Oryzias latipes: one gene and its partners. The main gene of each other region encodes a partner of the protein of the gene in region 4 in a complex. Links are inferred from orthologs where the notes say so. Each region holds a gene or a part of one and is shown on either strand. Other genes may lie near its edges.

What was found.
Region 1: lsm6 (region 4) and usp39 share a complex: the UniProt entries of both Homo sapiens proteins name them as parts of the U4/U6-U5 tri-snRNP complex. The link is inferred for Oryzias latipes from reciprocal best matches to the Homo sapiens genes LSM6 and USP39.
Region 2: lsm6 (region 4) and lsm3 share a complex: the UniProt entries of both Homo sapiens proteins name them as parts of the precatalytic spliceosome. The link is inferred for Oryzias latipes from reciprocal best matches to the Homo sapiens genes LSM6 and LSM3.
Region 3: lsm6 (region 4) and ppih share a complex: the UniProt entries of both Homo sapiens proteins name them as parts of the U4/U6-U5 tri-snRNP complex. The link is inferred for Oryzias latipes from reciprocal best matches to the Homo sapiens genes LSM6 and PPIH.
Region 5: lsm6 (region 4) and prpf31 share a complex: the UniProt entries of both Homo sapiens proteins name them as parts of the U4/U6-U5 tri-snRNP complex. The link is inferred for Oryzias latipes from reciprocal best matches to the Homo sapiens genes LSM6 and PRPF31.
Region 6: lsm6 (region 4) and lsm5 share a complex: the UniProt entries of both Homo sapiens proteins name them as parts of the precatalytic spliceosome. The link is inferred for Oryzias latipes from reciprocal best matches to the Homo sapiens genes LSM6 and LSM5.
Region 7: lsm6 (region 4) and snrnp40 share a complex: the UniProt entries of both Homo sapiens proteins name them as parts of the U4/U6-U5 tri-snRNP complex. The link is inferred for Oryzias latipes from reciprocal best matches to the Homo sapiens genes LSM6 and SNRNP40.

The regions. Positions count from the first base shown.
Region 1 is NC_019867.2:12,332,828-12,337,025, reverse strand, and holds the start of usp39 (U4/U6.U5 tri-snRNP-associated protein 2), read right to left. Parts: upstream 2,801-4,198; 5' UTR 2,686-2,800; coding exon 2,628-2,685; intron 2,317-2,627; coding exon 2,238-2,316; intron 2,162-2,237; coding exon 2,067-2,161; intron 1,980-2,066; coding exon 1,843-1,979; intron 1,312-1,842; coding exon 1,159-1,311; intron 1,074-1,158; coding exon 848-1,073; intron 253-847; coding exon 178-252; intron 3-177; coding exon 1-2. Other genes in the region: c9h2orf68 (UPF0561 protein C2orf68 homolog), read left to right, coding at 3,124-3,233, 4,032-4,147.
Region 2 is NC_019863.2:18,333,438-18,337,719, forward strand, and holds the start of lsm3 (U6 snRNA-associated Sm-like protein LSm3), read left to right. Parts: upstream 1-1,482; 5' UTR 1,483-1,565; coding exon 1,566-1,586; intron 1,587-4,282. UniProt on the Homo sapiens protein: Plays a role in pre-mRNA splicing as component of the U4/U6-U5 tri-snRNP complex that is involved in spliceosome assembly, and as component of the precatalytic spliceosome (spliceosome B complex).
Region 3 is NC_019865.2:7,776,072-7,780,313, reverse strand, and holds the start of ppih (peptidyl-prolyl cis-trans isomerase H), read right to left. Parts: upstream 2,801-4,242; 5' UTR 2,692-2,800; coding exon 2,626-2,691; intron 1-2,625. UniProt on the Homo sapiens protein: PPIase that catalyzes the cis-trans isomerization of proline imidic peptide bonds in oligopeptides and may therefore assist protein folding. Participates in pre-mRNA splicing.
Region 4 is NC_019859.2:18,489,126-18,493,397, reverse strand, and holds the start of lsm6 (U6 snRNA-associated Sm-like protein LSm6), read right to left. Parts: upstream 2,801-4,272; 5' UTR 2,713-2,800; intron 2,296-2,712; 5' UTR 2,286-2,295; coding exon 2,192-2,285; intron 2,072-2,191; coding exon 1,958-2,071; intron 1-1,957. UniProt on the Homo sapiens protein: Plays a role in pre-mRNA splicing as component of the U4/U6-U5 tri-snRNP complex that is involved in spliceosome assembly, and as component of the precatalytic spliceosome (spliceosome B complex).
Region 5 is NC_019874.2:19,364,284-19,368,350, forward strand, and holds the start of prpf31 (U4/U6 small nuclear ribonucleoprotein Prp31), read right to left. Parts: upstream 2,801-4,067; 5' UTR 2,628-2,800; intron 2,359-2,627; coding exon 2,146-2,358; intron 2,066-2,145; coding exon 2,005-2,065; intron 1,915-2,004; coding exon 1,831-1,914; intron 1,737-1,830; coding exon 1,639-1,736; intron 1,442-1,638; coding exon 1,335-1,441; intron 1,202-1,334; coding exon 1,032-1,201; intron 937-1,031; coding exon 779-936; intron 682-778; coding exon 592-681; intron 517-591; coding exon 389-516; intron 1-388. UniProt on the Homo sapiens protein: Involved in pre-mRNA splicing as component of the spliceosome. Required for the assembly of the U4/U5/U6 tri-snRNP complex, one of the building blocks of the spliceosome.
Region 6 is NC_019878.2:23,647,139-23,650,248, reverse strand, and holds lsm5 (U6 snRNA-associated Sm-like protein LSm5), read left to right. Parts: upstream 1-1,289; 5' UTR 1,290-1,362; coding exon 1,363-1,408; intron 1,409-1,469; exon of another isoform or gene 1,470-1,484; coding exon of another isoform or gene 1,485-1,524; intron 1,525-1,973; coding exon 1,974-2,069; intron 2,070-2,149; coding exon 2,150-2,177; intron 2,178-2,245; coding exon 2,246-2,318; intron 2,319-2,394; coding exon 2,395-2,427; 3' UTR 2,428-2,610; downstream 2,611-3,110. Other genes in the region: psme2 (proteasome activator complex subunit 2), read right to left, coding at 2,769-2,849. UniProt on the Homo sapiens protein: Plays a role in pre-mRNA splicing as component of the U4/U6-U5 tri-snRNP complex that is involved in spliceosome assembly, and as component of the precatalytic spliceosome (spliceosome B complex).
Region 7 is NC_019869.2:21,982,921-21,986,856, forward strand, and holds the start of snrnp40 (U5 small nuclear ribonucleoprotein 40 kDa protein), read right to left. Parts: upstream 2,801-3,936; 5' UTR 2,675-2,800; coding exon 2,564-2,674; intron 1,314-2,563; coding exon 1,184-1,313; intron 1,106-1,183; coding exon 1,012-1,105; intron 761-1,011; coding exon 595-760; intron 481-594; coding exon 358-480; intron 1-357. UniProt on the Homo sapiens protein: Required for pre-mRNA splicing as component of the activated spliceosome. Component of the U5 small nuclear ribonucleoprotein (snRNP) complex and the U4/U6-U5 tri-snRNP complex, building blocks of the spliceosome.

The DNA of each region.
Region 1 (4,198 bases), on a different chromosome or scaffold from region 4:
TGCTGTGTGAAAACAAAGAGCAGACCAGTTAAATTGAAGGACATTGCATGCAGACAACCAGCACTGGCTCTAAAATAGACTCCTTACATTGGAATAAAAGAGAAAATTACACATCAAATAAATGAATTCAGAAATTCAACAGATTTACTATAAACTAGGAGTGAATTTCTGACTCACATGGCTTCTTCTTTGTGCCTCCAAGAGCGCCATGCATGGCGTTTAGGAACCATGTCATGAAGTCCACAGCATCACCTGCAAACCAGAAAACATTGAGCAAACTCTACAAACTTATCCAGTGAGTTAAAGATTGTGGGGCAAAAAAGTATTTGGCAGCCACTGACTCTGCAAGTTGTCCCGCTCAAAAAGCTGAGTTTGGTCTGTAATGTTTACCATAGATATACTTCAACTGAGAGATAAAATGTCCAATAAATTATCCAGGAAATCACATTGTCAGATTTTTAGAGAATGTATTTGTATAATAGTGCAGAAAATAAGAATTTGGTCAACAACAAAAGTTCACCTCAATAGTTTGTAATGTAACCATGATTATCTATGACAAAGGTCAAACATAGGTCTTAAGCAGGTTTACAAACACTATAGCTATTATTCTGGACCATTCTTCCATGCAGAGCTGTAATGTTTTGAGGCTTTTGCTGAGAAACATACTTTAAACTCCCTCCACAGATTCTCTTTGATGCCAGAGTTATGTTTTTGGGATCAGTCATGTTGGAAGATCCAGCCATGTTTCATCTTTAGTGCTCTCATTGATGGAATGAGGTTTTTGCCCAAAATCTCAGCCTACATGGCCCTATTTATGTCAGCACTCCACAGGCCACAAAATAGTTACCTTGTTTGGTGATTTGGAAGTTTTTCTTGCTGCACAGGACTACAGCCTGCAGCATCTCGTGGGGCGACACGTGGGCCTTGAAGTTTCTCGGATTCCAAAGTTTGCGCATCAGCTCCCCAAACCGCTGCACCAGCAGAAACATGATGTCCCCTGGTGGCCTCCGGATGTCTCTGTAGTTCTCCTCCTCAAGGAAGTAGTTTCGCAAAGGTGGGACGTTGGAAAAAGCCTAAAAACAAAAGTACAATATGAAACCCCCTGTTATTTAAGTTGATGCCACAGCCTCAAAAATCAACATCAGCGGGGTTTCATACCTGTAGTACAGCATTGGCATAGTCGTTGGCTTTAATGTTATTAAGCCCTACAATCCCTGGCAGGTAGGTTGTACCATCGTAGGCTCTGTACAGTTTACCATGTTTGTCCAGACCCTCAATGTGCTGCTTGGTGAAAGTCGGCTTCAGCACATACTAAAGAAAAAAAGAGCAAGATTACCAACACAAAGCAAGAGCTTACAAAAAATAAAAAAAGGAGGGGTAAAAATTACTTAACATAAAACATTAAAAATTTAAAAAAGAAATGTAAAAAAAAAAGACGTATTAAAATTACAGCCAAAACTCTAAAAAGTATACTTTAAGACATTGCTAAATAACTTATTTTTAGATACTAGTACTGATACTTATGTGCAAAATATAGTAAATAAAATATACTATGCAATCAAATACATTGGCCTTGTATAAAATATATAAATATCGAACACATTTTTATGTACTCTGGGTTCACAAGTTAAAACTATTTTTAAACACAGAATATGTTAATGAAAACTATTGAAGTGTTACACTGACAAACAAGGAATGTGAGCAAAAGAATCTATCAATCATATCTAGAAGAAAAACAAAAAACTTTGTTTAATTTTAACATGTAACTGTTTACTTTTCCCCCCAGAGCAATTACCTTTTCATTTATACATTGAAAAACAGCAGATTTACTGCATTACTTACTGTGATGTCTTCTAGCGATGAGTCAATGATCTCATAGTTGTCTGGCAGACAGTAAAACTTGAGTGTGTGCAAGTTGAGGAACACATGGTGAGAAAACTGGACACTGTGAGTGTAGGCATGAGACTTCTGACCTCTGCCTGCAACAAGGAATGCAAACGTAAAGATGTTTAGTGTCATCTAAAAAGGAAAATAACAATGTGCGTTTGATGTGCTAATATGTCTACCTTGAAAGTATTTCCCACAAATAAGACAGGCATAAACATTAATGTGAGACAGAGAAATGGAGCAGAGCTTCTCAAAGTCAAAATCCAGAACACTCCTGCAAGACGAGAAGAAACTGAATTACAAGAAGAATGCTAACTAGCTTTAGCATACATTTTCAAACATTTCCTTGCCTGTTTATGGTGTCCAGGTAAGGACAATGGCGGCTTCTTCGGTCTTCAACCACACGTCCTCGCCTAAATTTGACTGTCACTGCAAAAGAGAGCAAATCACGATAAAGCTCAGTAGACGTAAACGGAATTCATTTTTACGAGAACAACTAACTACTAGCAATCAAAACATGCTTGCTAGCAAGCTAAGATTTTTCTATTAATCGATCTCTGTTTTAAAATAAACAGGTTTTACATATATTTTTATATGCTGATTGTCTTTGTCTTACATGTGAAACCATCAGTTTATTGGTGTAGAATGGAACTGACACAATATAAACTTTTTATGCTAGAAAATGCTCTTCTGGCTGGCTAACAAAACGAAAAACGGACGTAAGAGACAAATCAGCATACCTTCGTCTTCGTTATCCTCGTCGTCTTCTATTTCCTCCCTTTCACGCTTTAAAGACATTCTTGTAACTATAAGTTAGCAAACGGTTTGCTAACGAAACAAAAATTAACAAAACTTGAAGGTTTACGAGAGGAAATGAATGGATATTATTCAGCTCCTCGAAACTCGCGGTGGTTGTACGTCGGTGGTAATGGCGTGGGAAACCAAAACGTAACCCGGAGTTTAAAAAATAAATGTTTACCCCCATGTAAACTCTAAGTAATATATTTTATTTATTTGTATACTTCAGTTTCTTTTTTTGTCACAGAAATATAACCAAAATAGTTTATATTTTAGTTCAATGTGCATTGTAGGACTTACACGCAATAAATTAATTTGTAGAAACTCCGGGAACGCTACGGTTGGACATCCATTTATACATCGTTAGCTGTCTAGCTTTTTGTTAGTATTTTGCTTGTTCTTCTTTAGCTGTGTTTTCTTTCTAGAGTGTTTGCTGAAATGGATCTTATAAGAGATGAAGGAGTGCATGAGCTGAAGTACAAACCGGGGGGCCGTCTGGACATGAGCCACGGTTTCCTTCATCATATTCGGAGGAACCAGATTGCCAGGTGATTTCCTTTTTGCTGTTAGCCGAGTTAGCATACTTACTTGGGATGTCAAATGTCAATCTGTAGCTGCTGTCATTTCATGATTGATGTGAAATGATTTTTTTAAAAATGGCAGACAGTGAAATAACATTTTTTTAAAGTACCTAAAAGGCTTAAAGTCAAGTTTATTTTTACTTTAAAGCAGTAGAAGCAAAACCCTATTGGACTGACTGAAATTTTAAAAGGAGCATTAAGTTATTCGGTTTATGTTTTATTAGTGTAATTTATTATTTAAAAGTGGATTATTATATAAACTTAGGTTTGGTGTGTAAAACTTTTAAAGTTCCTCCTTGATAAATTACATACGCTGAGTTGGGCTGTTTTACAGCATCTGCTCTCTGTCTGGTCTTAAAAAAAGCTGCTACAATAATGTATGATAAGTATTTTGATTTACGTCCAAACAAAAAAGTTTGTTTTAATTCCCACACTCTCACTCTTTATTTAATCATTTAAAACGGATTTTTAACATGTTGATTTTATTTAGGCAACTTTGAAAGATGAACTATAAAGCTAAAAGAACAGCAATAATAATGTTGCTTTGTTGTGCGGCTCTTTAAATTGCTTTGATGTATGAAAAACAAAGCTGTTTTGCCTTAAAATAATAAAATTTTAAAAAAAGTATTATCCTCCAATGTGTAAACAGACCTAGGAACATTTTTAAGTTCATGGCCATGACCAAGATGCTCTGTGTTTTATTCAACTGTGCAACTTGCTATGTTTTTAAGAAATAATCAGAAAATATTTCAATTTCTTTATAAGAGATGACTATGATAAAGAAGTGAAGCAAGCCAAAGAGCTTCAGCGGCACAGGCGCACCACAACCCCCAAAAAGCCTCGGCGACCTGACATCCAGGTGTACCATCCTCGACGGAGACGTAAGACTGACATATTTCTTACTTTGCTGCTTTTAGAGGAAATGTAACACT
Region 2 (4,282 bases), on a different chromosome or scaffold from region 4:
CTTCCTGTTCTTCAGAGCCATCTTCTCACCAATTACCCATTTGCCCTGAGCTGCTGAGCAAGCAGAAAAACAGTGTTAGTCCACCTGAAATTCTCACTGATTCTCAGTGAAGAGCAGTATAAACAGGAAACAGTGTGAACTGAGCGTGGAGCCTGTTTGCGGTGCTGTCTGAGCTTGTTGCAGGATCTCTTCCATCACAAAGCCATGATGTAGCTGAGGGTGGAATGGGCAGTACCACTGCTCTGATCTGCCTCCCCTCCCACTGACAAATCCAGTATGAAGAACTGGATCGTCCTGAGAAGAGAGGAGGCGCACACCTGTAACCCTACAAACACAACGCGGAGAATAGCAGCCTCACAGGACCAGAGGCTGTGTATGACATCACAAACAGAACGTCTGCAACCCATTTAGTTACATTAACCAGTCTAAACTAGTGATGTTCAATAAATATAGTTTTTTCCCCAAAATAAAATAATGACGCAATAAATCACAACCGCTGCATCATTTTATCTTTACTTAAATAGCATTTTGCTTTTTATTTTCCAACACTTGGTTGGTATCCTGTATACAAGAAATTGTTATTTTTAATAAAAAAAATAATAATTGAAAAGCAATTTATTTCGTTTTTCTGCTTTTTAAGTCCACCTATTATAATTTTAGACTGTTATTAAAACGATTTCTTATCTTTAAATGCAAGACTTTGAAAAGAGTAATCAATGAACATAAAATAGCCTTTTTTGGTCTGTTAGTTTCAATTAATAAATCGATTAATTATTTAGTGTAATCATTAAAAATAAATATTTGAATAAACTGCAGATTACATTTTAGGAATATATTCTCTCTTAAAAGAATTTTAACGGTTTTCTCACTAACGGAAAGCTTCATTATGTGTAACTATTTACATTTCATTTCTCGTTTACATTAACATTTCGCATACGGAATATTTCTAAACAGACCCGTTAGACACTGAATTCCCAATAACAGCTTTACTACCACTCAAAACGCTCTGGAATATTAGTGTAGACAGGACAAATACCTCAAAATGAACAGATATTTATGAATTAATTTACCTTCTCGCTGCTCTGCGCGGATGACACGACAGTGTCCTGTGAGGACAGAAAGCTCTGGAAAACGCTAAAGGACGGTACTGGATAACGTTGCCAGGTTTGAACATACACGCAACGCGTCGAGAGAAAGGTGAATTTCTTTTCTTTATAGTTTAGTCTTTTCAGTTGTTTCAATTTAAAAGTGGCAGGGATGCAACAAGGAGATGTTTGTGTTGTATTTAAATTTTAGGTAAGGACTATGTATGGATTTACACATACTTTAAATTTAGTCTTTTAAGGATGGATGTTGATACCATAAGTTTTAATAATAAACATTTCACATTCTCAAAGTACGCATAGATATATATTGTAAACTAATTATTTGTATAAAATTCAACTTTGTTGAACTGGAAATCGAGGGATAATTCGAAACGCACGTGTGTGTTGCCGTTTGAAATCTTAATTTCACCGGACCTGGCAACCTGCGTACCGGAATCGACGCGCGCATGCTCGAACAGTATGGCGGACGAAGCTGAGCAGGTTAGCGGTTCTTTCGCTAATTATATGTTTAACCTTACAACGAACGAACAGAAGCCCACTTTGCTTCTAAAAGTGCAGACTGCGCTGCACGCTGCATTATTTTTAAAGTGCTTTAAGGTTATTACAGGAACGTTTTTGACCTGTTTGGGGCCGTGGAAGCGGCTAACCGAGTTAGCCGAATTATTAGCCTTGGTGTTCCTGTGTTTCAATTGAACGCAAATGTTTGGTTTGAAACACAGTTCATTGCTTTAGTGCTAACCAGGCAGCTAAATAGTTTATACAGGAAGGAAAGTTTGTGTAAAATGTGTGGGGAAAACAACAGCTGTAGCTCCAGCCGTCGAGGGCATGCATTCTGCTGTGTTCATTAAACGGCCTTCTTCTGATTCTGGTTACCTCAGGTGTGTTTTGCTAATCAACAGCAGGCAGACTAGGACACCTGCCCTCGAGGACTGAAACTTTACATTTGAGGTTTCTACTCTCTGAAACGCTTGGCGTTTCTGGCTGCCGGCCGCTCTGGGAGGGGGGGGGGCGCCTACCGCGGCCGGCTGGGGGGCCGGTCGCTCGGGGGAGCCTTCTCCCCCGGTTGTGCCCATCCGCCCGCTCCTCCCCGCTCTCACCCAAACAAATATTGCACACAGGCACATAGGGCCCCGGGATCTGGATGGGAGGGGTATGCTGGCGGGGCTCACTGGGGATGCCCCTCTCTGGGTTCTCGTTGGCACCCGCCCTCCTCCCCGCTTTTTACTTGCATATTAGACACTCTGATTCATCTAGGGCCTTGTGGAGAGGGTCTGGTGGAGGGGGGCACGGTGAAACATCCGTGCTCACCTTTCGCTGGCCCCCCCACAATTTTAACTTCCTCTGTAGACACACACACTGCATGCTAGCAGCACACACACAGCAAATACACACCACTCACAGAGGGACTCCGGAGTGGGGGGCTTTGCGGCTTGGCAGCGGTGGAGCCCCCCACACTGGTGACCTCCTATTTTACCTGCAGCACACACACAGCACTCCCACACCTCCATACATGGGTGGGGTCGGGGGGGGGGGGCGGCCGGTCTTCACCCGCCTGGTCCTCTCAGGGCGGCCAGGCTTATGGGTGTCCTGTCGGCTGCGGGAGGGGTCGGGCATGCGGCGCTGGGGGTTGGCCGGCTGGGGGGGGGGGGGGGGGGGGGGGGTTACTGCTTGGCGGCGGGGGTAGGGAGGGTAACCAGATGATTGTGAGTATGTGTGTGTGAGTGCATGGGTAGGACCGACCTGGGGGCTGGCTCGCTGGGACCCTCTGGGGCTTTCCCTCCCAATCACAGAGAGGGGAGGGCACTGAGAGGGTTGGGGAGGGGGGGTCAGATATTATGGCGGGGGGGGGGTTGTAGTGCGTCGGGTTTTAGGGGGGTGGCTGTGGCTGCGGGTGCGTGGCGATCCCTGGGTTGCTAGGGTCGCGTGCCTGGGCTGGCTTGCGGGGACGGGGCGCTGGTCGGGTGGTGGCCGGCTCATGGGTTCCGGGGCCCTGGCTTCGTCCCTGGCCTTTGTCTCGGTGTCCGGCGCCCGGTGGCCCCCATGGCTGCCGCCTGGTACGGCTAAGCGCTCCTGTCTTGTGGCCTGGGGGCCGGACACTGGGTTCGCTTGTGCCTCTGGGCATTGGGGGGGCCCCTGTAGGGGGGCCCTCTCTGTGCCTGGCTGGTGGGGTGGGCGGTCCCCTCCTCCTCCCCTCCCGGGCTGCCTGGGTCCGGATGCTGGGGGGGCTTCTGGCCTGGGGGGCTCTCCTCCCCTCTCCTGGTCTGGCTGGTCTGGCTGGGTAGGATCTGGCTCCCTTTATGAACACACGGTTCACGTCGGCAGCATGCATGTATCTCCACCCCCACGTGCACGTGCACACTGCCACACTGCTCCCTGTCTGCTTCATCCCTCCTCCTTACCTACAGTGTATTGATGGACAGTTTTTTTTCCGCTCATCTTAGTGTCAGATTTTGACCTTTGATGTAACATTCGTCTTTCCAGCAGATCTGGTATAATTGTTACAGCTTAAATTAATAACTTAGTCAAATCAGTGCTTGTATCCCCCACCTTTTCACCTTTCTTCCTTTTACTCTCTTCCACCCTCCCCTCACATTCTTCCCCTCTCCCTCCCCACACACACTAAATGTAACAAATAAATAAAAAATAATACGACAAAAAGGGGTTTATACAAATCTACACTCTAGTTTCTTGAAGCTATATAACCTCTTTTTGTGATAGTAAAACCTGTCCAACACAAAAAGCCTTCAGCTCTAATCTGTTTGCTCAGAAGTTGGACAGAACAAGTTAGAAAAAAAAAAAAAAAAAAAAAAGATTAGTAAGCAAACTGACTTTCATTCTAATCACAAGGTTTAGAATTTTTAGTCACCAAAATGTTTTTTTTTTGTCTTTTATTTTTATTTTTAATGCTATACTCTTAATTTAACAGTTCAAACACATTCACACAGGTTACCCAAACGCCAATACATGTAATCTGCCTTCACTTGTTTTGCTGAAACCCATGAGATTAGTAATGCTTTTATATTAAACATATATAAATGTCACAAAACAGTCGTTTTTGGTGTCTTAAATGTAGGTTGGATGTTTCAACATTTTATTTTGATTGCTGAATTAAAAACTGTGAATCACAAGTTGATTTCTGTGTTGTCAAATTGTGTTGAGATGGGAAAAAAAGTAGT
Region 3 (4,242 bases), on a different chromosome or scaffold from region 4:
CAGCGTGAAGACGCGGAGGGGGCGTGTCTGCGACAGACCAGAGTCTCTTATAGGATGGAAAGTTCTTCATGTTGAATGAGGTTGAATGAGAAGTGAATAAAAGCCTCATCATGCAGAACCTCTCCGGGTCGTCTGTCGACCAGCTGTTGTATTTTTGTCACCAGGTCTGAACCAGGAACGGGTCGGAACCAGGCGAGCTGCTCGTCCCTGTAGCGGTTACCCTGTGCTAACGACTACGGTCAGCAAGCAGTCAGCAAGGTTCATAAAAATAATATAAAAAAAAAAAACAAAAAAAACTAACGGGCTGAGTATTAGGTTTCTGATTAAAGTTTGGATTACACACCTGCGTCACCGCCACGACTCCCAACAATGTTCTGGGACAACAATGGAGAATTTTGAGAAAATTGAAGTTCCTCATGATGAATGAATTATTAATATGTAATGAGGAATTAGCAAACAACAAAGTCTCAAATGTGGCAAGACATTCCAGTATAAACATGCAGCTTTTGTCTAAAAACATCCAGATCCAGATGAGAAAATAAGTTGTTTGTTGACAAAAATCTATTGGAGAAGCAGATTAACTGCTAGTTAATTACAACATATTTGCTAGTTTTGTGGCCTCTCGGGGAAATGGTTCTCATCGGAACCTATTAAATAACAGAGGATGAAAAAAAAAAGAACGCAGCGCCCCCTGCTGGTTCATCACCGCGGTGATCAAAAATCCCACACCGTCACAGCTCAATTTAGACACATATTAAAGAAGCAGCCACAAAAACACATCTACTGAAACTATCATCATTCTCTGGAGCAAGGACGCGTTGAAGGGGAAAATAAAAACATAAGGCAGGAGACACCAAATTGATGAAGCAAGGCACAAAAACACAAGTAAAAAAGGTCAGTCCAACCTGTCCATAATGATTTCTGCGGAGGCAGAATGTCTTGGGGGAGGCTGTTTTTGCCGATAAAATCAACAACAACTGCAAATGAGGCCTCATTGTTTGCTATGCTGCTTTCATTTGGGACAGTTAAAAGAAAATACCTTTGGGACCTGAGAGTTCTTGGAAGTCTGTAAGATCAACGTGCCTTATAAAAAGGAAGCACGTAAGTTTTTCAGAGTTTTTAAATGTCTTAAAAAAAAGAACATGTTTGTGGACGTAAAGGATACAGAAATGTATAAAAGAAATTAATCAAGTTATGAGTGTAACAGCCATATCAGTTGAGAATCACAGATACAAACAAGATCATGTTAAAATAGAGGTATAAAATTGATCAGGAATAATCGGTTTATCTCTGTCAATTTCTCTTCTTTTTGTGCTTTACTCTATCGGAACGTCCAGTCACAAGCTTATTTCTACCAAGTCAGGTTAATTACAGTAAGCTGAAGGTCATCAATGTATCTATGAAGCGTGTTTTTGGACTGTGGGAGGAAGGGATGCACGGGGAGAACATGCAAACTCCACACAGAGAGTTCCCAGCTAGGTCTTCTCGCCGCGAGAGCGCTAACCACTGTGCCATCGTGCAGCCCTTATGTTATATGCCAAATGAATAATAAATATCTAGATTGTTTTCCATTTAGTCATTTGTCATCCTTTTAGATTAAAAGAAATTGGACTGTACCGGAAAGTTAGTTGAATATTTTATGTATCAATTCATAGACCATGTATCGAGATGCGCATCAATTCATTTGAGACGGAAAGATATACAACCCCACTCCAGAGCAGTAAATTAAATACAAGGTACCTATCTACGGCGGGCATGGTGCAGCGTTAGGGCGGTCGACCCATGATTGTAATATTGCAGGTTTGATTCCCGCCTTGCACACCCATGAGTCAAAGTGTCCTTGGGCAAGACATTGAACCCCACCTGGCCTCTGGTGGGAGGTTGGCGCCAGTGTTCGGCAGCGGAGCCGCCATCGGTGTGTGAATGTGTGTGTGACTGGGTCTGCGACTGTAAAGTGCTTTGGGCCTTGAAGAAGGTAGCTAAGCGCTATATAAGTATACGCCATTTGCCATATTTAAAAGACAGATTGATAGATAGCAAGCAAGAAAGGGCATCGTTAGTATTATATTAAACTTTGGAAATGTGTGTTGTACTCCCTGATTACTTGATTCACCTGAATTAAGTTAAAAAAACAAAAACAAAAAAAACACAATGGATCTAGGGGAAAAAAAGCTTTGCGATATCAAAGTACAGACGGAAAGACTCTCACAGACTAAGTTAAGTAGAGAATTAAACAAGCTAGAAAATAAGCAAAAGTAAAACCAAACATGTTGTGTAGTCTTTGTTGGATCTAATGGAATGCTGTATAAACATTACTTTAAGCTTTTAAAAATATAAAAAAAATAAAACGTCGTTTGTTAAAAGAGTGTCTAAACCGGACTTTAATTTGTTAATACGACGGTGAAATTCAGACAGAGACACATGATGATTCACCACACAAAAACTACTTTTATTTATAAGGATGCATCTAATAAACAGACGCAAACCGTATCACGCGCAGTTTACATGATATTATTCTTTCTCTGTAAAGAATAACTATATATTTGAGTCGATTTTCAAGTTACCCTTAAGCCTTAGCTAACAAATTTTAGCCATTTATTCAACTTTTCTTTTAAGCTCACTTACCTGACCGCCGATGGTGATGTCGAAGAAAACGATTGGATTGTTTGGGTTTGTAGGTTGAACAGACATAGTGATATTTTATACATACAACTTATTAACTTTAAATAATAGCAATGTTGAATTCACACGCCACTCATTTGAAAACCACGCACATGCGCAGTAAGAGTCTACGGTGGCTCGCCGGAGTCAGCGAAATACTTGCGCTTTTTTCCTTCAAACTTTATTGAATGAATACAAAAAGAAGGAAAGAAAGAATGAAAATCAGTGCTATGCGCTTTTTACCATGGACTGTAAAAACAATGGACACTATGAGGACAGTTCTTCTTTGTTACTTAATAATATCCAAAACCTCAGAACTATTGATGAAGAGGAAATTAGTTATTGTGGGAGCCTTCTCACGCTTGAGGAAGTAATTTGATTTTATTTGATTTATTTTTATTTCAAGCATTAACTGTAGTCAATACTTTTTTTTTAAATCACACAGATTGACAAACTAATTACAGAAATGATGAAAGACATAGATTAAAACAAAGACTCGCTTTTGTCACATTTGCTTAAATAAATATAGTATTCATTAATGTCAAATAGAGCTTCTTGATTTATTGCTTGAAAATGAGTGGGAAGAACAAAAGCATTCATAACCCCACCCTTTAAACTTAAACTAAAAGTAATGTGAATTATTTGCAATTAAGGACTGCTCAGTAGATGTTATCTGCAGTATAATGTTAAAATTAATAGGGCCAAAATTTTTCTTAAGAACCCCACTGCTATCTGGAACATTATACCATTTACAGATTTTTTTCTCTAGTTTTGGAGGCTTTAATTTTATTTTGAATTGTAACAATAATGTTGTGAAACTCCCAGTAAAACTCTCATCTTTCCATTAGCAGGTCCTCTTAGTGTGGAACCTAATTTTCAAGTATCCTTTTTCACCACACAAATATTTCATCTGGATTAACAGATTTTTTTCATTTAAAAAAAGATCACTCCACCTGGAGACCTGGACACAGAATAGGACCCTGCTGGTGGCTCGGCTATTCAATAAGGAGGGGCAGCTGCTAAACTACAATGTGTCCTTATCGCTATATAATTTTCCTGTCAGTCTACAAGAGTCCATAAACCTTGTGCTATCCTAGGCACTTTAACATTGGGAGTTGGGTCATCTAGACCCACTAGACAGTGCGCTGAACCTTTTTTCTTCAATGATTTGTGAACCTCACTGGTGTCCATGGATTACATGAAATCTTTCCACCTTTATCCATCTTTGTCATGGTAGGGAGAACACGTCAATGCAAGGGTGGGGTCATCTAAGATAGCACAAGGGTTAATGGTGCAGAATGCCCTACCATCAGGAACATTAATGCTGTTTAAAAACACTGATAAATAAGTGACATAGTATATTTTAAATTATTGTAATCAATTTGTTCCAGGTAACAACTGGAAAGTGGTGTGGAGGATCCCTCATAAACATTTAACAATAAATAAGGTGAAAGAAGTGTCTTTTTAAATTCTCCATAAAATTTACCCTGCAAAACAATACTTGACAAAATTTGAAAAAGATATTAATACTGATTGTTTCTGTGGAGATCATTCAGAAACTGTGACACATCTTTTTGGGTA
Region 4 (4,272 bases):
AGCAACTTGTATATGAGATACAGTTGCAGTGCTCAACATTGTGATCATTAAATGGAATTTGACCATTTTTTTACAATGAAAGACATATTGAAATTAAGTCAGATATTTTTCTAAGTCATTTTCTTTTTAAAAAAGAAAGAAAATGTGCTCCGGTACTATATAAGGATACGCATCGTATCGTCAGACTCTTGCCAATACACACCTCTAGTGCTTAGGCTGTCTCTGCAGATGAAGTAGTAACATTGGTATTGCCCTTATATAATTTTTTTGGATTTTTGTGTTGTCCACACATAGGAATAAAGTGTGTTTCTTTAGAAAATAAAAGGACAAAAAAGAGAAAGCTTACATCATTATGTAAGGTTTCCTTGATTGTGTTGTGTCAGAATATGCTAGGCTAGCTCTCCATTAGTGGTTAACATTTCAAACAAATTTCAAATATTCCCCAAACACAGATTTTGTGTACCTAAAGATGAAATCTCACAGCAGATGGTATAAGTTAGTGAAAGAATTTACATTTTTAAAGGTAAAGTGAAATTATTTACTGCAGTTTTAGAAATGCCATTTACAGATGTATCCAAAGTCTTTTTTTTAATATATTTTCCATATGCAAAAGAAAAAACTCAGATAAACTGGGAAGGTGATAGTTTTACCTTTTAAGACCCGAGCTAATATTTGAGATAACCCTCTACACATAGTCACAGGGCCCCAGTTAAGCAAAATTAACAACTGTGGTAATATGTGATGTTCGCACATGTGGACATCAGGTCTTAAGAGGTTAAAGATATTTTAGCCAGCCCATTCTATTCGTTTGCCTCCTAAACAATCTGCATCTGATCGTTTTTGTGTCACACCTATAGATCATCCTGCTTCGTACTGCCTTAAACCTTTAAAAATTTGTGTCATTACTGTCCATTTGGTTAAACCAATATAAATCAATCATGCACTTAAAATTGTTAAGATTCATTTCTATCACTTTGAAACGTTCCTATTAGCAAAATTGTCAACTTTTTTCTAATACTCCCCAAATAGTTTTTTGTTGGTTTAAGACATGGGTAGGCAACCTGCGGCTCCGGAGCCGCTTTCATCCCTGTGCTGCGACTGTCTGTATTTTTGTAAAATACCTATCATGTTCTAAGATTGTTGTAGAGCCTTTAACACCGTCGGGTAGCGCGAGCGGTCAGGAGGAAGAGCGCAGCGTGAGCACGCGGAGGGGGCGTGTCTGCACATGTGAATACTGACCAGAGTCTGGTATGGGATGGAAAGTTCTTCTATAAAGACAGTCAGCGGTAATCTCGTAGGGGCACAAGATCAAGGTTGTGTAAAATGGACAAAAGATCAAAGGAAACATAAGGCTCATAAATAATTAAAATAAATAATTAAATAAATATCCTGACAGCATTTTGAATCAATACAAGTATTGTCAAATGAACTATTGCGACATTTCAAAAGCAAAACGCTTTATTTCTAACACCCCTTGTGTTGCGGTTCCCTGTGCTTTCATTTCTGTGGGAAACGGCTCCAAATGACTCTTTGAGTGGTAAAGGTTGCCGACCCCTGGTTTAAGACATGCATTAAATCTATTTGATTAGGCTACTTTTACCTAATCATTTCTGCAAAGAAACAACTCCAAACCACATCTCTCTACCATAGTCACCTAAACTTGACCAATAATTCCAATTTCTTTAAATGAGTTCTTAGGCATGCCTTATGCAATGTAAATATTTTCACCATATTTGCATGTTTCAGACATACATCGCTGTATTTAAAAATAAATTAAAACTATGATGAATAGGTCAAATATCATTAACCAATGATTTTGGGTTATTTAACTGACTATGCATACCTACTATTCAGTGTAAAGTTAAAACATATAATCTAAAGGCATACCCCCTTGACTAACGTCATTATGTGCAGAAGGCTTAATCAGTATTTTTATTGTAAAAATGTAACCTCTTACCATTGTTTCCTCTCAGAAAGGCATCCCCATACTTGTTCTTGAGCTGTCCATTAACATACTCTTCTGTCTGTTCAATGGCGATGTTCATGTAACCATCCAGACAGGCCAGAACACCTGCATAAGTTATAGCAAACAGGAACAAAGTTTTGGTTAAAGTCTCATTCCTTAACAGACATTTAGAAATAACAATAAAGGAGAACCGTGCGGCTGAGCCTGGCACGCCAGGTGTTTTACCTCTGTAATCCACACCAGAGTTTAGTTTGACCACCACTGGTCTACCAATTATCTGCTTAAGGAAGTCACTCGGCGTTTGTTTTCTCATACTCATCTTGCTTGATCTGAAAAATAAAGGTTTTTGTATATTAGCCTTTTAGTTTCTTGTGCTAGCATCGCCATCGTCCTCCATGATTAGTTTTATGTTTAATAGCGTGGATTTAATACATAAAAAACGATGTTTTATTTCCGCTAAAATACCACATAAAAAGCCCAACTCTCATTTTTTCCAACCACGTGCTGAACTACAGAAATAAGCATCAATGAACAAATTAAATCACTGAGCAAGCGGGAGACGTTAGCTGCTACTGCTAGCGTAGCTAACCATCTGGCTACTGACGGGGTTAACTGTCTAATGTCTGTAGAGATAATGCCGGAGGTTCTTTAAGATTTTCTAAACAATTGTATCTGCAATGTAAATAGGCTAAACGCATGTTTGCTTTACAAGCAGAGGTAAATGGCTTGGTTTACATTCCACTCACCTGCTATTACGTCTAGCAAACGACTGTTTTCAACGACACCCGCGAACTACCCAATCATATACGTGCAGTCTATGGTAGCCGGCCGTTGTCAAAAATATCGAAATCGCATTAAGTAGCAAACGCGCTAAATTTAGAAAATCTGTTAATAATAATAATAATAATAATAATAATAATAATAATAATAATAATAATAATAATAATAATAATAATAATAATAATAATAATAATAATAATAATAATAATAATAATAGAACTGTTTACTGTTTTCAAACCATTAAACTCTTAACCGGCTTTTTTCTAAAGCAGGACACATGTCAAGACATTACATTCTAATTTAAGTCCTGTAAAATAAAATAAAAAGTTCAAAACTACTTTTTTTTATGTCAACACCGGTTGGATCAATTCACAATTTTTTATCCCAGAACTGAAGAGTTTAGCATATTACGTTTTTGCTGCATGTTGCACCAGTTGCTATTCATTGGCAAAGAGAGCAATAATTAGTAAGGGTTGTTTATAGGCAAATGTTAGGACTTAGAATAAGGCAGTCAGAGGAAGTTATTATTGAGACCTGAAATGTCAAGTCACATGCCTGTTTCAGCTGAAGAAACATTTAGTACCTTTGGACAATCTGTAAAGGCTTGAATCTGCAGAATAAACCTGTTAGACGGACAATGTTACAACCTAACTGGATGTTCTATGGCTTCAGCAATTAAACAGTGAGAAAAAAAAAACAAGTGAGCAATTGATCGAGCTCACTTATGTTTAATAAGCTGAGAAGGCCACCAGGAGAAATCCAGTTAGAGCTGGATGCATTCTTTTGCTGGGATGCTTTTAACATTTATTCACATAGTTTGGATTTAAACAAGTCCTAAACTGTGTCAGAGATACACAACTCACAAAGGGCAGAGCAAAGCATTTGATTAATCATCATTAGCTGCACTAAAATCAAGACAAATTAAAATTTGGAACAGTAGAAAACTTCATCAGCCAGCAAAACAACGCCAAGAATGAATGCCACACAGAAGACCGTGGAACAAGCAGAACATGCAAAGAACTGCAAACATTGTTGGATTCAGTTGAGGTCAAAGCGCATGATATTTTACACTTTCTGATTGTGACAATGTATTTGTGAAAACCTATCAGACAAGAAAAATAGAAATGCTAAGATTAAGTATTTGTTGTGTATAAAAGAAGTTTAAGTAGTTACAAAGTTTATACGGACAACATTTGGAGTAAGTTCAGTGATGAGGCAATCAAAACCACTACTTTATTGTTTTTGATGTTCTCACTGGAATGTCTATGAATAAAAACATCAAGGAAAGTTTAAAGTAATATCTAACACACTAAGTTTGACTGTTTTATATATGAAATATGGCGATCCGTTTTTGGACAAAGAACTTCCGCTTTTGCTAGGTCATGAAGATCAGCAATCTTGAAACTCTAAAAATCATTTCTAAAATAAAAACAAAGTGGTGGTAAGATATCAGAGCCAGTGTTTTTCTTTTTATTTAGGTTTTTTTCACAAAGTCCCTTTTTTCAGTGTAAAGTATACTATGAGTA
Region 5 (4,067 bases), on a different chromosome or scaffold from region 4:
TCTTTCACTAAAACATTACATCTGTGATAAATTCAACATTTGTCACAATTATGCAGATTAATTGATTGTACTGCAGTTTAAGATATTACAAAATACTTCAAAGTAAACTAATTGGACAAAAATGAACTGAGTAGGGCTGTCCAAATAATTGTATTTCTCCATTTAGTTAGTTCTTTGTTAGACAAAAGTATTTCTATATCAAAGATGTTTAAAACAACAATTACATTGCAGCATATTTTTAAAAGAACTCTGGCAAAAGAGCAGTTTTTGAGAATTATAAAATTCCTTAAATAGTTTTGAAGCCATTGACTATATTTATAATACAAACAGAGGTTTTGATGAATTTACAGGCAATTCTATCAAATACTAATAACCATAAGTGACTGACCTCCTTCCTCCTCTCTTCTTTCTCTGTCCGTCCAGCGGGGCTGGCAGTGGTTTGACCTGCTTCACTGGTGGAGGTTCCTGCCATTTATCAAACTTTCTCTCTATTTCTTCTTTTAGGTCATAGCCAACCTGCATTACAAAGGGAGTTGAATAACAGAGACAGAAATTATATTTCTGAATGTTCCTTTAATTTGAGATGTTTACCTTTCCATCTGGACTCTCGTGGAAACTGTCTACTCGAGAAGCCAGAGTGCATTTCGCGGCCACCAGACGAGCTGCCTTCCTCCTAAGGTCCTGAGGGGGGAGAACAAAAGGGGAAAGGAGATAACTAAGGCAAACAAACATTAGATGTGGAAAAGGTACTTGTTATTCTTGAATATGGTGTACTGACAGGAGGCAATGACTGCACAACATCACAGTGGTAGATGTAGCCCGTGTGAGGAAGCAGCGATGTGCTACTGAAGCCTGACAGAGTTTTCCTTTGGGCTCCCAGCAGCATCAAGTTGCAGGCTGGCATCTTTGAGAGGTTTGTTAGGCCTCCAGCAATGCCTTCAGCCAAACAGGGAAAAAAATTCAAAAGTAAGAAAAAAAAATGTATGGGCATAAAAAAACTTGATATTTTCTAGATAGTTTCACTTCCTCACCCATGATCTTTGCTGCAGTCGATGCTCCCACAATGATTGACAGGTTTGGAGCTATAAAGGACATTCTGGACTCTACATATTCATATATCCTGTGTTTTGACTGGTTGAGCTCCAGAGCCATGTCACAAGCCTCCTCAAGCTGCTTCAGCTCATCTTCCGTTAGCAATGACCTTAAGAGGAAAACAATAAAATATATAAAGGGAGTGTCTATGTAAATAAAATAAACAACAGACATAATAATGGAAATGTTAAAAAAAAAAGTTTATTGTAATAGGACACAAGTACCAACATTCTTAAACTTACCCCTGTGTAGTTGATGCAGTGACACTGACGACCATAATGGTGGCATTGGTTAGAATTTGCTGCAGGGTTTCATTGTTTTTACATTTCTCCAGGTTGTTTCCCAATTCCTTTATACGAAGCACACATTTACAACAAAAAAAGGGGGAAGATTTAGAGGTTAGATGCAAAAAGAAAAAAACAAACCTATGCAGAATAATGGAAACCATTCAGCAAATCTTTTCTTTTAATAGAAGAAAAACAAAATCAAAAATTTGATATCCGGTAACTTCAACGTCTCCAAACTTATCTTTTAAGATCAACAAACCTTGACTGTGCGAATGTAATCTAAAGAATCTGGAACCAAAGACTCAAGCTCTGGAAATCTCTTGGAGTATTTGTCCCTTGTAAACTTGTGAATGATGTCTGAAAAGACAGGAGAAACACAGACCTCACACTTTCAGTTGAAAGAATCCAATTTCTTCATTAGGTTTTGTCGCACAATAAAAGTCCAACTCACTAAGCTCATTGTCAATTTCAACTGTAAGATTGTTGGCTGCAACAATCAGCCTGTATTCTGGGTCAGCCTCAACTGGTCCTGAAACTGAAAGAAAATACAGGTAAACAGGAGAAAAAGAAATGGAAGTAAATCAGTAACATTTTCTGTTAAAATGCACATTTTTTCAACACTCACCATCTGAATTCTTGCGCTGTTTTCCAATATATCCAGATATTTTTTCAATTATATCTGAAAACTGAAAACAAGCAGTTAAAAGGGACTGCCTTCAGGTAGTGAAAAAAAGGAACTCTTTATGAGAGTCAGCTAAACAAAGACCTGTTTGCTATTGCGGAGCTTGGCGATAGACGTAATGCTGTCAGTTTTACTGTAGTCCACCTCCATCTCTTCGGGGATATCTTCCAGTCTTTCTGTCCTCCCTGAAGCCCCCTCTCCATCACTCCCTCCTTCCTCCCCCTCTGGGTACAGCCCATCTTCCCCCTCATCTCCAGCTTCCTCCAGGTCAGCCAGAAGCTCGTCAGCCAATGACATCTGCAATCAGAGTAAAATTCATGATCCATCTTCTAACAATGCATCTTTCAGCTTAAACGAGAGTAAAAGTGTGGGCAGTTGTTAAATTTGTGTTTATTGCAATTATTTTCAAAAGGAAGTAGATCTAACGAAAGTCTATCAGTGTTATTTTTTATAAACATCCCGTTGAAAAAAACAAAAACTGATATCAGTCTGCTATTCTGTGTTAGCTAGCTAAAGTTAGCAAACGTTCACCAAACGTCATTCAACACTGAAAAATAGTAACTTACGTCGCACTTTCAAAATGAAGTAAAACAAAACAAAAATATATTTATATTTTTTTAAAAGTCACTTTAGACAGGAAGGGTTCTAATAGAAGCCAATATAGGTAATGCTACTTGTGCGGCTTCTTGCTCCTGTTTACAACATAAAGCTCACGATCCGGGTGGTTTGTCGCAGAATAAATACGTCACGATTTCCGCATGGGATTATGGGTAAGTATCCCCTTTCCTTAAGAGATGAGAAAATAACATACGGGCTTCTTTCTAAAAATGAATGTTCGGTCTTTATGAGTTTACTTGGTTGCTTTAATTACCTTCTCTTAAAAAATGTGTAGTAGGTCGCAACTAAATACATATTTATTCGAATAAGGAGTTACATTTCAGGCCACAAAATAAAAACACAGGTTTTTTTCTAGTATTCCGAAAATGACTTTACTATAACTCTTCTTTTATTTGTAGTTCTTAAAATATTGTTTTAAAAATATTTTTCTATTCTTAATTTATTTTATATTATTTATTAGACCCTTAAAAGCTACCTGTACATAATAGGAAGAGAAGTTAAAAAAACAACAACAAATAACTAAATAAATGACTAGTAAGTTTCTGTGACAAACTGTTAAAAAAAACGTATTCAAAAGTGATGGGACAAAGTAAGAACTTAAAAACTTTACATTTTATATTTAAATTGCGTTTTAAAATATTTACACACAAAATATAATACATACATGGCAGCAAAGTACCAGTCTTGCATTCAGGAAACTAGAGTTTGGTTAACTTTTTTTTTTTTTTTTTTTTACAACAATTTTAATAAATTATGATACTTCACCATAGCACACAAAAACTTTATAGAAATAAGACAATTACCTTTACAATCAAAATTTCATTCACAAAACAATGGGCCACAAATTCTTTATCAATGGACGTTTATGCTTTGACCAATTGTGGTTTCCCACTTTATTAGACTTATATTTATTAACTGTTCTATTTTATACATTTTATTCTGTAACTGACTTCTGCTTTCAGTAGAACATATTTAAATATTACTTCTAATTGACACAATATAGGGACTCAGAAAGGACCCTGCCCTTGCAACAAATTGGTGAGGTATTTGAACGAATGAACAATGACTGGGACATGACCCGTATTGGATAAGAGGCTCACATTTTGTAGTTTTTATTGTACATCCTCCCCTTTGAAACCCAGTTTTTAAACAATACAATTTTAAACCAACATTTAAACAGACTAAACAAATGGACTAGTTGGACCTCAGCTGCATGATTGATGGCTATTAGTAGAAAATGAAATAAATTAACAAATACACAAGCAAATGGTCTTATTTACTGATGAGCAACTGTTCTGTCATGCTAAGCTACATAAACGGTCATTAAACAAGATAAAGAATGACAAGACTGCTAATAATATAAACATGAAAATAAGGAAACATTACAA
Region 6 (3,110 bases), on a different chromosome or scaffold from region 4:
AAAGTATAAAAAATAAATAGATACATATATAAATATATACTGCAACTTCCAGCTTTTTCTGCCACAATTGACACAAAAATGGATGTGAGATTGTGGAAGGCTGGGCATGCTTTTACATTTCAACATGTTGACGAGCCTTTTCTGCTCTCTCCCATAAATACTCCTGTGGAGAAAATATGTCTGTCCGTTATCCCAGAAGAAACATTATTTCAAATTAACATTGCATCTCTACCTCAGAGCATGTCTTATTGGAATATGTTTGCTGATGATATTGCATGGAAGGAGGTTTGGCAAACCCCTAATAAACGCTTGATCACCAATTAAGTAAAATAAGCTACTTTTAGGATTATCCACAGAATTTACCCAGATACAATTTTCATTCAAAAAAGATTAGATGAAACATTGATACATCTGTAGTTTTTGCTGCAATTCCCCTGAAACAGACATCCATCTTTTCTGGAATTGTCCTCAAGTTAAAGTGCTTTGGTAGAAGATTTGTGATTTCATACATGACAAAATTGATTCTTGTTTTGTTTTATTCTGGAAACATGTTTTGTTGGATCTTATATCAAAGGATACACAAAAGGACTCTGGTTGGCTTTTAAATCTCTTGCTCATGTTGGCCAAACAAAAAAAAAACAGTTACAACTTTTTTTAAATTGGTGGGTTTTTATATTATGTTCAGACCCCATTTTCTTTGTCTTTCACTTTTTTTTTAACTTTATTGACAATTGAGGTATCATACATTAAATAACGAACAATAACCATGTAATCAACATTACCTTGAAGATCAATCACCATTGCCAAACATAACATATTAACAAAAAAATAAAGAATAGAGAAAAACAAAAAAACAATGAACATAACACACAAATAAATAAAAACGAATAAGTAAAATAAAAATAAAATAAAAGAACATAGATCCAATCTAAATAGTCTAATACTAGTTAGGGGTACTCGTGAAGTTTGTATTTCTGAACAAAACAAAGCAATTTCAAGTCATTCTTCTTTTTCATATAATGAAGTGATTTGAAGTAAAAAACAGAGCTCTTTATGAAATGTTATAAAAAGTGTTTTGGTCTTCAAATATTTATTTTTGTGTATATAAAACTTTCCTTGCAACATCTGGATATTAAGAACACCAAATAGAAATTTTTCTGCGTGTAAATGAACTGGCATTGCAATTTTGGAAGAATACCAAAAGCAGAATTCCTCCCAGAATGTTTTTATAACTCCTTTGTCTTACACCTAAACAAACGTTGCTGTTCAAATAAATACTCCACGTTCGATTGCTTTTGCCTGCTGGACTGCGCTCATTTGTCGATTGGTCGGGCCTGTGCGGAAGCGTGTTCGTCAGTAAACATGGCAGCCACCCAGGGCACGAACCCGTCCCAGCTGCTCCCACTCGGTCCGTAAGCTTTAAATTAAGCCCGTTTTCTATCCGGGGTCTGACGGGGATTCACGCAAAACTCCGGGAAGTGTTCATGCGGGGGTCAGAGCCGGGGCCGCTGCGTGGTTTGAACGGTCTGACAATGGCGGGCAGGAGTTAGCAGCTAATTGTTCGTTAGCATCGAAACGCTCATGCTGTTAAAACTACGTTAAAGAATGACACTTTTTAAGTCTTTGGGTGTTTGTCTGATTGTAATATATTTAATTCATCGATTAATATGGTCCTGCCGTAAAGGGTTCGTAGTTGACGCGCTTTTTGAATTGCATAGCAATGCTGCAGCTAGCCGCTCCTTGCGACCGTGTTGCTAATTAGCCCAAAAGGAAACGTTTTCACCTCGTCATTCATTATCATTAATATTATTAGGATGTACTACTCTTAAGAGATGGTTTTCCTTATGTTGGATGCCTTGCGTAAACTTTATTTTAAACAAAAAGTTAAGTTACAGACACCTGTTAAAATATAAAATCAGTGTGGTTTGTAGACTGCATGCATGAAACTGAAATAACTGTTCTTCTTTCTTCAGAGCTTGTGGACAAATGCATCGGCTCTCGAATTCACATCGTCATGAAAACAGACAAAGAAATCGTCGGAACCTTGTTAGGTTTTGATGATTTTGTCAGTATCCTTCATCGATATTTTGGTATCAGTGTTGTGCTGTTTCCCTGTTTGGCCCACAGCCGCTCCTTAACTCTGTGTCAGACATGGTGCTGGAGGATGTGACAGAATTGTAAGTATCTTGTTTTCTTTTTTTTTGTGTACTTGGGGCTTGCTGTTGATGTGTTTTTGTTTTTCCAGTGAAATCACACCGGAAGGCAGGAGGATAACAAAGCTGGATCAGATCCTCCTGAATGGAAACAACATCACCATGGTGAGAAAGCAGTCGGTGGGAAGGATGGGGGGGGTGTCGCTGACCGGATCTCTCATCAGAATGGTTCTCTTTGCAGCTCATCCCAGGTGGAGAAGGCCCAGACGTGTAGATGTCAAGTTTTCTAAATGTACATACATCTTTGGTTGTTCTGGATTGATGTTAGTTTGCGGATTTCTCTTACTGGACATTTTGTTTTTAATATTTTTTAGTTTTGATTCTTTAAGGTTTGAATGAATCACGTCAAGGACAGAAAAGCTCTTTTTGTTATAAATAAACCAGATGATTAAACACAGTTTGATTTACAAGTTTATTATTCATAGGTTCACTTTAGTGCAATTTTCTTTCCTGTTTTTAAAAAGTGTTGGCATCCAACAGCAGTAATAACAGCTCACGGTTCATGAAGTCTAAATCTAAAGTTGCGCTCCTCCAAAACGGCGTACCGCTGCCGCCTCAGTACATGGAGGATTTCTCCTCTCCTTTTGGGTTGGTCACCTTTTCCAGGTTTTTGTTGATGATGTCGTACAGCTCGGCCTGAGGAAGTGAGAAGCTTGTTTGAATGAAAAGGTAATACACTTTAGCTATAAAACACCCCTAAAAACACATTTTCTTATATAAAACTAGGAATTTAACCTTTTTTTTGGTTAAAACCTTAAATACTTTCATTAAAATCCTACATCTGAGTGGAGGAAGATTTAAAAAGAACTTGTTTTAATCCAAGTAACTTCTTTTTTTTGTAAACCAAACAATTTATGCTACAAGAATCTCCAACTAAAAGTGAGCAAAAGTGTCTGG
Region 7 (3,936 bases), on a different chromosome or scaffold from region 4:
TGAAACCGAAATTTTTTTTTTCACATGTTAGTCTTTATCTAAGTAGAATCAGATTATTTGGTGCATTTAAATGAAGGCAAACACATGATAAAACGTTGATTTAAGCTTTATGGCAGACTAATAAAATGTGTTATTTAAAACGGATTGAAAACAACTAAATCACTGATTTCTTTTTTCTTTCAAAATGTCAGAAAGTTTTTACCTTAAACACTGAGTTTTTATAAAATGTCAAACTTTTTTCTTGCCATCTACAGTAGAGCCACGTAGCAGCTGAGATTTCAGACTTCCTGTTAATCTTACAAAACAAAACCAAGGACACTCTGCTGGTTGTTGTTTTTTTTAGAACAATCCAAATACCTTGATGTCATTGTCGATGCCTCCAGACAGGATTTGGTCGCTGGTGTCATTAAACGTCACGGCCAAAACTTGGTAGGTGTTCTGGAAGGTGTGAATTGCCGCCTTTTTACGGATGTCCCACAACTGCAGTGACGATTAACAAAAATACAATAAAGCAACATTTAAAAACTTTGAATGGGACCTCAACAGTTGAAGCATTCAGAATAAATAACTGCACCTAAAATAAAAATGTCACACCTTTATCGTCCCATCATCGCTGCCGGTGCAGACCAGTTGTGGCCCCCGGCGAGCTGGGTAGCAGGTGTTAACAAAGGAAGTGTGACCTTTCAGGCGCTTAATCCTCTCCCCTGTTTCACTGTCCCAAATGCCCACGGTCTTGTCTGTGCTTGCCGAAAATAACAAGCTGGAGGCACAAAAATGATCCAGTCAAATTTTATGGAAAGGTTATTTAAGAAATGTAGATAGTTCCAAGTCCTAAAATTTACAGATGAACATTTTTTTTGTTCCATAAAGTTCCTTAGTTTTTGAAATCAAACTAAGACTAAGAAACAATGAGAATATGAGCTTTACTTTCACTGTAAACATAACCTAAAACAAGAAAAATGTCAATTTAAAGGTGAAGTTTAAAGATAAAATCTACAGCTTTCTTCCTACCTGCCATCTGTGTTGTAATGCAGCTCCATCACAGCTCCACTGTGGCCCTTCAGGGTGGCGTAATTTTCACACTCCCCAAAAACGTTCCACAGAACTGAGGTAAAGGAAGTAAGTGAGGAACAAAGCAACAGAAGAAGGCCGGGAGAACGGCAGCTTGCCTCTTTTTGCTTACATATGAGTCGGTCGAAGCCAGAAGACGCCAGCGTGGCTCCATTTGGATGAAATTTGCAGCAGTACACCTCGCCCTCGTGGCCCGACATCAGCATGATGGGAGCTTGCAGGCTGGAGGTCCGAGGAGGACCCTGGAGGAGAAAGGTCAGTTTAATTTACTTTCTGTTTTTTTCTTCCAGATTTAGTCCAAGTGAAATCTAAAAAGAAAACAGGCATGTGATAAAAGACAGATAAATAAAAGTGCGTTTGGGCTTAATGTGCCACAGAACGCTTCAGAGTAAAGTCCACAAAGTTTAATGCAAATCTGCAGCAGACCAGTGAGGAAATGGATCATTTGTAAAGGATCAAATTGATCATGTGACACAAAGGATCTTGCCACCCTATGGTGGCACACTTTCCATGCAGGGGCTTGTGGTGCAGAGGCAGAGCGGTCCACCTGATCACAAATATCGCAGGTTAGGTTCCACAAATGGGTGGGCAAGGCGGGAACCTAACCTGCGATATTTGTGATCAGGTGGACCGCTCTGCCTCTGCACCCTATGGTGGCACACTTTCCATGCAGGGGCTTGTGGTGCAGAGGCAGAGCGGTCCACCTGATCATGAATATCGCAGGTTAGGTTCCCGCCTTGCCCACCCATGTGTGGAAATGTCCTTGGGCAGGACACTGAACCCCACATTGCTTCTGGTGGTTATAGTTTGGCGCCAGTAAGAGAGCGAAACCGCCATCAGTGTGTGAATGTGTGTGTGCATGGGTGACTGTGAATGTGACTGTTGCAGGTGATATGTCATGCAGATTTTTGCAACATCAAAAGATGATTGCTAAAATGAAACCCCAGTGTTTAAAAGCTATTTATTTTTTACAATAGAAAAAAAAGATTTAGTATCTATCCTGTTAAATATCCTATAGTTTTGTCTCAATAATCAAAATATCTACTTACAGAAAAACATCTACAAACTGGAAAAGGTTTAAATACACAAAACTCATGCTTAATAAAAAAAATAACATTTTTTAATTTTCTATCATAACATTAGCCTAGGATTTGTAACCTGTTCACGGTTCACCCCGGAAACACCCATAACTGGGAAAGGTTCCTTTACCATCAGTTTGTTGATAACAACGGGATTTCGAATATAATACGTATTTTAAAGAAGCAACATTACATCCAAAAATTAAATATCCTAGCGAAAACTCGTGTTGTTATTCGTTGTCATGTGTTCTCTACGTCAAGAAATAATAGGTGCACCACAAAAAATGTCGTGTTTGAGTAAATTTTAGATTACATCATTTAAAGCATGCATAATACAAATGCGGGTCAACACCCGTGTGTATATATTTTCTCTAATTTGAGTTTTTTTGTGTGAACGTTGATTCTTTTCGTACCGTAGCCACGAGTTGCTGGGACTGTGCCGCCGCCACCAGCTCGTTCCGGGCTCGCTTCACAGCGGTGGGAATTACCGCCATGTCTCCCGCTCTTTTCTTTGGTTCAATCATCCCGAAATAATTGCAAATAATCGACAAAAATAAGTTTGTTTGTGACTACGGTTTACCGAATGACTATTTGCGCCTTCATGGGAAACGAGAAAAGCGTAGCACCAACGAAGAAATCAGGATGAAGTGTTTCCGGTGAGTATGAGCTGTGTGATTGGTTTAAACATCCATCTCCTGCTGTGATTGGCTGATGAAGACGTTGTCAGCGACAATGCACCGGAAGTACAACAATCTGAGTTCAGCTAACCACACGAAAGGTAATATTTTCATCCTTTTTTCAAGACTTAAGATACTTTTTGCGTGATTTTCCTTATCGTTCTACCACGACAAACGCCTATACTGTTCATGTCTGAGCTTTTGTCTTTGAACTGACGGTACAAACCGTAAGAGGACGAAATTATAAGCTAACCAAATTCATTGCTGACTTGTCTTGTTGTCAACTTAGATTTTTTGTTCGCTCGATTATTAAAAAACAACAACTTTGAGCTAATTTTTACATAAATAAAATTAGTAATTATATTTCTTTGGTACCGGGAAGTTAATGCTTTATTGCGACAGGTTGGCTTCATCGTAGTTTAAAATGACACGAATGACAATTTTCATTTTCAACCACATATTTGTACAAATAAATATCCCAAAAGGCACAAGGTCATTCTTTATTTGCAAGAAGTGAACAGCACAGCAGAGGTTAAAAATTTACCGAACTCTTTCTGTCAACCACATTACCTTTGAAATTAATTCATTTTCTTTTATGACTTTCGTTTGGTGAATTGGATGAAAGAAGATTGCTGTTTCATTTCCTCTCCCAAATTATGTAGAAATCTAAGAGAGGCAGTAAGTTGTCTTAAAGGGAAGAGTTTGGTCGGAAACCACGAAGATAAAGGGATTGCAAGTTTTCACCTCAAGGTCTCTGCTCTCTGAATTGTCTGGGCATAAACACTGATGGCAAATCTATCCATTTTGTAAACCCGTTTTGTCCCTTTCGGGGTCATGGGGCTGTCAGAGCCTTACCCGGCCACTCGCATGTTTTTGGATGGTGGGAGGAAGCCGGATCTCCTGGAGAAAACCCACGCATGCACAGATTTAGAGTAAAGCGCTAACCACTTTGTCACAGTGCAGCCCTGACCGCAGATCTGTACAAGGCAATGTATGCCACCTTAGTGCTGACTGATTGAGGAAACATCCAGGGGTTTTCTCTGAAAACTCACTTTACTGTTATCATCTCTAGTTACATAAAAAACCTGGTCTCCAGTTTGTATACCAGC